Kluyveromyces lactis: one gene and its partners. The protein of the gene in region 1 purifies or fractionates together with the protein of each later gene. This does not show direct contact. Links are inferred from orthologs where the notes say so. Each region holds a gene or a part of one and is shown on either strand. Other genes may lie near its edges. The genes, in order: ALB1, LSG1 and MRT4.

Region 1 (2,209 bases):
TTGCGATCAGTTCACATTCCATTACGAGGCTACAAAGGACCCGGTAGCGTTGGTTAAGCTAATTAAGAAGCATGGTATGAAGGCTGCCTGTTCTGTGAAGCCAGGTACCCCTGTGGATGTGTTGTACGAGTTGGCACCATCCCTGGATATGGCTCTTGTAATGACTGTCGAACCGGGTTTCGGTGGCCAAAAATTCATGGCCGATATGATGAGCAAAGTGAAGGACTTGAGAACTAGATTTCCTAATTTGAACATTCAAGTCGATGGTGGTCTTGGTAAACAGAATGTCGAACTTGCTGCCGAGGCAGGTGCCAATGTCATTGTTGCCGGTACCTCTGTGTTCCGCGCGCACGACCCAGCAGATGTCATTGGATTTATGAAAACCAAGGTCAATGATGCATTAGTGACCAAAGGTTTATACGAAAAGTAGTAAGTACCTAAGTACATATACGCACTCTTTTTTATGTCAGAATAATATTTAATGAACGATCCGTTTAAGATCTATCCTAGTATACAAAATGTTTATATAGACAATGCAAACCCCATTTAACGATTTTTAAGACTCTCTACAAGAAATACTGACCACCTAGAGTTGTACCAGAACCTGTCTGAAGGGATAAACCTTGAGATTGAATATCTTCCAACACCGTGGAAATAGCCTCTCTCATCTTTTCCAATTGTCCTTTCTTGGTTTCCTTCTCCTTCTTCACAACAGGCGCATCAATCTGCATACCACCGTTTTCCTCACTTTGAGATTGTAGATCAACTAATAGTTTTCTTTGTTCCACGTATTTCAAGTTACGTTCGATCTTCTTTGCTCTTTTCTTCGAAAGAGTCTTGGTCGTAAGAGCACCAGAGGTCGAATGCTCGCCTTTGTAAAGATCCAATGGTATACTCTTCAACTGACCAGATTTAGATGTTCCTGAAGATCTTGCTGGTGCCAATAAACCCTTCTTTTCCATAGCATCTCTCTTGGCAGCACGTTGATGAACCTTACGGTTCAAGTTAACCTTTTGCTTTGGCCTGTTAATGGAGTTCTTAGATGGCATCTCGAATTTTAGTACTGTGATTAACCGTTAACTTGTAGTTCCAGGAATACTAGCCAGTACTAAGAGTAACAAGTAACAAGATAGCTAGCACAGGTGAATAGTAACGGGGGATCAAGTACATGGTATGGAGATGCATTAACTTTTCAACAGATTCGCGATGAGATGAGATGAAAAATTTTAGAAAAGAAACGGCAGTACAAAATAGATACGGTATTAGTTAATGAAAAATGCTAAGATTTAAGCCAAGACATGCCGACATTGGTACTGGAGAGCACCATCTATGGAAGGGGTAAGAATAGGTGGTGATAAAGGCCACGGTGCTCATTACATTTCGGCTAACTGCTCACTTTATGTATACCAGCGTTATTTCATGGTAATGAAAGTGACATAGTTACCCGGATATTTAAATACGACCCACCCTTAGAATGGACCAATACATGAAAAAAACACACGGTAGTTGGAACCATGACAATAGAGAAAGGATAGAAACTATATACTTGTGTTCACAAGGATTAGGAGGCTAGTTTAAGTTCAACCGTTGGAGTTTTGTCTTGCCTTTCAGCGATAATTTTCTAGTTTGAATATATCGATTCTTGATTGAACAATTCGTATCAATATTCAAGTTTTATCGACAGTAAAGACTTAAAAAGAAAACACCAAATGACTAGTGATGCCGATGATGTGCTAGAGTTTTTAGACTCTTTACCAGCCAGTACTGCTAATAACACTAAGGGAAAGGGTAAGGTTAGTGGGAACGGCGGCCAGGATGAGGATATTATGGAATTCTTAGACGAATTGGAAAATAGTAACCTGGATATTAAGAAGAAACCGTCCAAAAAGGACAAGCCACAATCCTCTAAGAAGCAAGAGAAAGAGAAACCGGAGGAGAAGCCAGAATCGAACGAGAAACCTGTAGAAGAGACAGCCAGTAAAGAGAAACCGAGTGAACAGAAAGGAAAAGAAGAACATGTGGCAGAAGAAGGTGAAGAGGCAGTTCAGGACCCACTGGCGTCAATTTCCAATTGGTGGTCATCTAGCGGTTCTGCTACAGTATCCAGTTTCTGGAACAAGACCACAGAACAAGCCAATCAATTGAAAGAGAAGATAGCTACTCAAGAGGGCAACTTGAAAATAAACGACATAGGGGCCAGATTAACGGC
Region 2 (3,386 bases), on another chromosome or scaffold:
CGATGGTAAGTATAACATAAGGCTGAACTTGGTTAACTATTGCTAAATCTTATTGATATACAAATTCATACGACTCTCATAATATTTCAGAGGAAACTACTGAACCAATTAAATGGGTAATATTTCCGCCCACCTACTATCAAACTACAAACTGTAGGAATTCAGTTGTTGTTAGCGAAAAGGGCGTTAAATGGGAGTATCCCAGCTCTGGGCATCTTGAGCTTACTTCTACATGCGTGGAATAAGTCTGCGCCATGATAACCACAACGCGAACCATAATTGAACATGCCGAAATGTGTTTAAGAGCCCTTGTTTGCTGAGCTAGGAACCAAAAAGATAACCACAAATGACAAGAATACTTATCAACTGGACCATGTACTGAGGTCAAGTATAAAGTAAACCAACTTTAACCAAGTTTTGTATCCTTTTCTTTTGGTTCATCAAATTTTTCAGTAAACACCGGGTAATGCAGTGACAAGTTGCATGCTAACCATAGGTCTTATAACCGGAAGCAGGGCAGCTAAGGAAGATATAAAGGATATGCAGTTACATTTCCATAATGAATGGGGATAATAGACTGTGCAAACAGTGGATTTATATATATATAAGAGTTTAGGATGAATTTAGATAGTACTTACATTAATCGGAAAACATGGAAGCCTTTTTCTTACTCTTCTTGTTCTTCTTGTTATGCTTCTTACCATTTTCGTTGGCGACGGTTTGCTTATGGAAAGGGTTCGTAAGTCTGCCTTGAACACCGTTCAAATGGAAGAAATTTTTGTCAAGTTCATCAGCTACGTTGTACAAGGCTGCTTGTTTACCACCATGGTTGACAGATTTAGCTTGTACTTTATCACCATCACCACCAATATGAGCAGAGAACGTTAATCGACTTAAATCGCGAGCAAGATCCAAATCTTGTATACCTTTGTGTTTGGCAGCTTCTGCAAGTTGCTCTTGTCTGTTGATAGGTAATTTACTGAACGTGTATAAATCTTTGTTGAATTCCTTACATTCTTCTCTGGTATATGGCGTATCATCGTCCATGTGAGGCGGTGGATTAATGTACAGGAGTTTACCGTTCACATAATCTTTGAGAATGTAACGAGAGGCACGAGATTCATCTGCGGCACCAAAACCTTGTGTCATATAACCACGAGCTCTGGCATAAGCAACGAGTAATTCTTGTGCAGTTGGTACTTCACCATTCCCACCCTCTTCTACGGATTTGGTCTGAATATGGATACCGTAAATGGCTTCCAAAAAGTATTTAGGGACCCTTTCTGCCACTAATGTCGATGGCCCAATATAGTCACGTAACTGATCGATCGGTAGAACACCGTTACACACCAATTCACCTTTATTGTATGCAAAATTAGGGAAAACTAGACCTGGACAGTCGCATAACGTTACCTTATCAGATAACTTGATAGTTTGGAAATGTTTGGTCTTACCAGGGGTAGAAGAGACAGAAACTTTCTTGGCACCCACCAAGGCATTTATAGTGGAAGACTTACCAACGTTTGGATAACCCACTAGACCTATTTGTATGATTGGCTCTTGACCGGGCAATGGAGGAAGTAGCGGATCGTTTGGCGCTTTATCTAAGAACAATTCTTCAAGTTGATCGATCTTCAGTATGTTAATTTTATCCAGAATTTCTTTGTTCACTTCTTCCCCATCAAGTTCTTCAATTTCTTCCTCTGTAGCCAGTATTTCCTCATCGTCCTCTTCTTCAACGTATTCATCCCCTAGTTCCTCTTGTCTCTCTAATATTTCATTAGCCTTGGCAGCAGAAAAGAATGTAAAAGAGATGCCCCTCGAGAGAAGGTACTTGGCCCAAATAATACGTTGCTTTCTTGTTAATAAATCCGCTTTGTTGATCAAAAGTAAATTCTGTTTCCTGTCATCCACTTCTTTCACATATTTCTCTAAATCTGTGGATCTGAATAATAATGGATCTCTGGCATCCACGATTTGGACTACTAGATCACATCGCTCAACAACTCTCCACAACTGCCTCCAAACTTCAATGTTTCTCTCGAATGGAGTCAATAACAAATCCTCGTTGTCTTCTTGCAAATAGGCTAATTTACGTCTCCATTCCAAGAATGCTTCCTTTTCTAACCTTTCTAATTCAAATCTGGTCATAGATTCATTCCACTTAGGCCTTCTTGGGACAATCAACTCTCTAGCATGTAATCTCTGCTTCTCGTTGATCTTACTTTTCTGCTCATTGGTCAAACTAAATCCCTGGGATGTGGCTGCATCGGCACCGTTATCCATTCTGATGATCTTGACATTAGAATGTCTGTCCGCTGTGAAATCCTTGTCTGCTAACTCAGCAGTACTCAAAAATTCATCTAATGCAGATTCCTGAGTAACAGATCTCAATTTTACCCAATTAGCTTCGTGCTTATCGGTAGTGAAACGTTCTTCACCATCTGGCAAATACTGCACTTCATTTTCCTTACGTCTTGCAGTTTGAATTGCCTTACCTAACCCAATAGTGTTTTTATTCTTCCTTTGAATAGGCTTTGGACCCTTTGGAGGTTTCCACTTCTTTGTTGTTTCCTTTGGTGGCATGCTGCTAGTCCGTGTTGCTTGTAGACCTGCCGTTAACTGCTAAGATTGTTGTGCTGATGCTTTGCTTATGATGAGATGAGCTGGTTAACATATTAAAATTTTCCGCTAGTACGTAAAGTGTAAAAAAGAAATTGTGTGGTAAACCTGAACTAGAACAGATGGATGGCTCAACAATCTTTACAAAAGCACCCGCATGATGAGGATGCAGAGTACGACTCCAACATAGGTATTGCATACCACCTTAGAGGAGCGACAAAATTAGAAGTCAAGAGTTTCTGCAGAATGGAAGAAACTGCAGCTGATAAAAGGGTTACCACGCGTCTTCCTCCATGTTGCTTGTGTATTTTAAGAGAGAAATTTATCATTGTGGGTACCTATCTCTTGCATAAGGACTCAGGCAATCGAACTGGCTCTATTGAGGTTTATGATAAAGAATTGAACCTTCTTTCTAGCATAAAAACCTATGGGGCAATTTTAGATTTGAAGCTCAATCCATTCGATGATACTTTACTCGCAACAGCTCATTCAACCGGTAATATGATTCTGTGGACGATATCTGTCGACGATGATAATTCATCAATTGATATCAAACTATTGAACAACCTTCAAGTATTTGATCCCACATGTCTAATAACGTCTCTCCAGTTTTCTCCATTGCTGGATAATCTCGTACTTTTAACCACTACTAATGGGGATTTTGCTACTGTTGATATCATACATGGTGAAATATGCTTTATAGAGGAGGTGGAGCCATCGTATTTCGACTCCTCAACAATAAATTATATTGAGGTGCCAAATGC
Region 3 (2,100 bases), on another chromosome or scaffold:
AGGATAGCATTGGTTAAGATTATTTTTCATCCTTATAAACCGATGGAAGATGTACTGCGTGATGTATTGGACCGTAACAAGAAAGTTCTAGTTATAGCAGTTGGCGTTAAGGCTCGAAGTTTCTTCGAGCAAGATCTACGGGAAAACAAGACGCATTTCTTTAACAGTATTGATGATATAGTCAGGGGACGATCCAACGTGCGGATTCTGTTCCTTGATAAATTACAGTATTTATATATGTACTTGACATATGTCGAGATTGAGCTCCAGAATAAAGGAAACACATCGATGTGCTATGAAGAAATTATCATCTACGGTTTAGAGTCCCTGTTAATGACGAAAGAACAATTGGAATCAGAAGAGACACAGAAAACTCTTGATCTGTCAATCTCCCAGCTGCGACATTGTAACCTCATCCTTCATGGATCGCTTCGACTGGAAAATCAGTACGCTGTGCGTATCAGAATGGTGTCAGCGACAGATCTGGGAATGATGTCTCAAGGTTGGAAGAATCTGACCGAATATTGGCAGTACGTGTATTCGATAAAGGATTCCTAGAGAAGAGATTAATGTACAAAGGAGAAATATATAGGTTATGATTATATATATATATTTATAGTTTATCACTGCAATGCTTTCTTATTTTTGGATTTATTTCGAATCCATGTTGATATTGATCTGTTCCACACTAGAAGTTTCGTTATCGTAGTATGCGGCAACCTTCACCCTGAATTCAGCAGCTGCTATACCAAATTGTTTCAAGATCAATGCTTGAGTAACATCTAGAGTTTTGCCCTTTTCACAGACCAAGTATGGAGATTCGATGGTAATCTTACCATTCTTAATTTTGGTTGGAATCTTGAACTTGTTTCTTAGAGTTGGTTCCAGAGAATGTATCATAGGCACATCTTCTTCTTCTGGGATTTGACCACCACGAGAGTATACAATACCGGCTGGAATGGTAAAAGACAATGGAGCCTTTGATTTTGGTCTGGAGAAATCAGCTCTCACATATGCCTTGAAGTAATCTTCCACTACATCGACAGGTTCGTTGGTAAATAATAGACCAGTAACACCAGAACAGTGCTTACATAGTTTGGCCAAGTTCTCCTTGTACTCTTCCTCTGGCTTTTCACCTAACGCTTTCACCAACACCTTCCTCTTACCCATGATTAACTTGGATCCAACCCAAGAACTTCTAATCTCTTGCAAAACTGGAGTTCTCACATCTTCCAAATGTAAAACCCAAGCGTATCTGAAAGAATCCAAGGCTTCTCTAACTTCATCGAATATCCTTTCCTTGTTCTCTCTACCCTTCTTATCGGTTTGGGCCAATGTAACCAACTTTGAACGCTTAGATCTTGGCATCGTATCTGGGTTGGTATATGTAGTAGCTTGATGATAAAGAGTAACGAAAAGTAAACAATTATCAGAACACTATTCAATTACAGAAGAGAGATAAATAAAGAGGAATACAACTGATAGAATATAGCGATTAGTACTGTTGATCAGTTTAAACTATGAAAGGTCCATCGAGTAGATGCGATGAGATGAGCTTTCTCAAACTGAAAAATTTGCGCCTTTCTTTTTCTTTCTAGTTGTGAGTCACGTGATTTGATTTTTCCAAACGGAAAGTAACGACCTCTGACACAAAGTGAATCGGTAAGACATATACCGGCTCTTTTGCAATGCTCTAGGGCCATTCTCATAAGCTCGGTTAGAGAGGTTTATTCTAAGGAACTGCAAAACCAAACTCCGGTATGAATTCCCTTGACTGATTTCTGAGTCTCTCACTCATTGCCAATGAGACAATAGATCTCAATTCAACACAAATATCAAGACTAGAAAGGCACAGATAGGGCATGATCGTGTATCGGGCAAGTAGATATAGTGGTAATGATTTAACCTATTACCGGAGATGTATTGTAAATGGGGAAGTAAACTTAGTCACGTGACTCATTACTTGTGGCGACGGGTATTGTGTATATTTTCCTCAGATAAAACCGCAGTGTACCGGACCAAAATGTACCTTAAAAGTTCAGAGTCAGGAAATTGCAATCTCAGTACATATTTAGCAGGAAACAAACTAGTTGGTTTGAT

The links.
Region 2: the proteins of ALB1 (region 1) and LSG1 purify together in Saccharomyces cerevisiae (affinity purification with mass spectrometry; 3 studies listed by BioGRID, with this or other methods). This does not show direct contact. The link is inferred for Kluyveromyces lactis from reciprocal best matches to the Saccharomyces cerevisiae genes ALB1 and LSG1.
Region 3: the proteins of ALB1 (region 1) and MRT4 purify together in Saccharomyces cerevisiae (affinity purification with mass spectrometry; 3 studies listed by BioGRID, with this or other methods). This does not show direct contact. The link is inferred for Kluyveromyces lactis from reciprocal best matches to the Saccharomyces cerevisiae genes ALB1 and MRT4.

The regions. Positions count from the first base shown.
Region 1 is NC_006041.1:1,345,364-1,347,572, forward strand, and holds ALB1 (Alb1p), read right to left. Parts: upstream 1,050-2,209; coding exon 567-1,049; downstream 1-566. Other genes in the region: ribulose-phosphate 3-epimerase RPE1, read left to right, coding at 1-430; DUF5427 domain-containing protein MTC1, read left to right, coding at 1,710-2,209. UniProt on the Saccharomyces cerevisiae protein: With ARX1, involved in proper assembly of pre-ribosomal particles during the biogenesis of the 60S ribosomal subunit. Accompanies the pre-60S particles to the cytoplasm.
Region 2 is NC_006042.1:641,292-644,677, forward strand, and holds LSG1 (ribosome biogenesis GTPase LSG1), read right to left. Parts: upstream 2,587-3,386; coding exon 640-2,586; downstream 1-639. Other genes in the region: RRT2 (diphthamide synthase), read left to right, coding at 2,749-3,386. UniProt on the Saccharomyces cerevisiae protein: GTPase required for the nuclear export of the 60S ribosomal subunit. Acts by mediating the release of NMD3 from the 60S ribosomal subunit after export into the cytoplasm.
Region 3 is NC_006038.1:1,184,158-1,186,257, forward strand, and holds MRT4 (mRNA turnover protein MRT4), read right to left. Parts: upstream 1,369-2,100; coding exon 652-1,368; downstream 1-651. Other genes in the region: SHU1 (Shu1p), read left to right, coding at 43-558. UniProt on the Saccharomyces cerevisiae protein: Component of the ribosome assembly machinery. Nuclear paralog of the ribosomal protein P0, it binds pre-60S subunits at an early stage of assembly in the nucleolus, and is replaced by P0 in cytoplasmic pre-60S subunits and mature 80S ribosomes.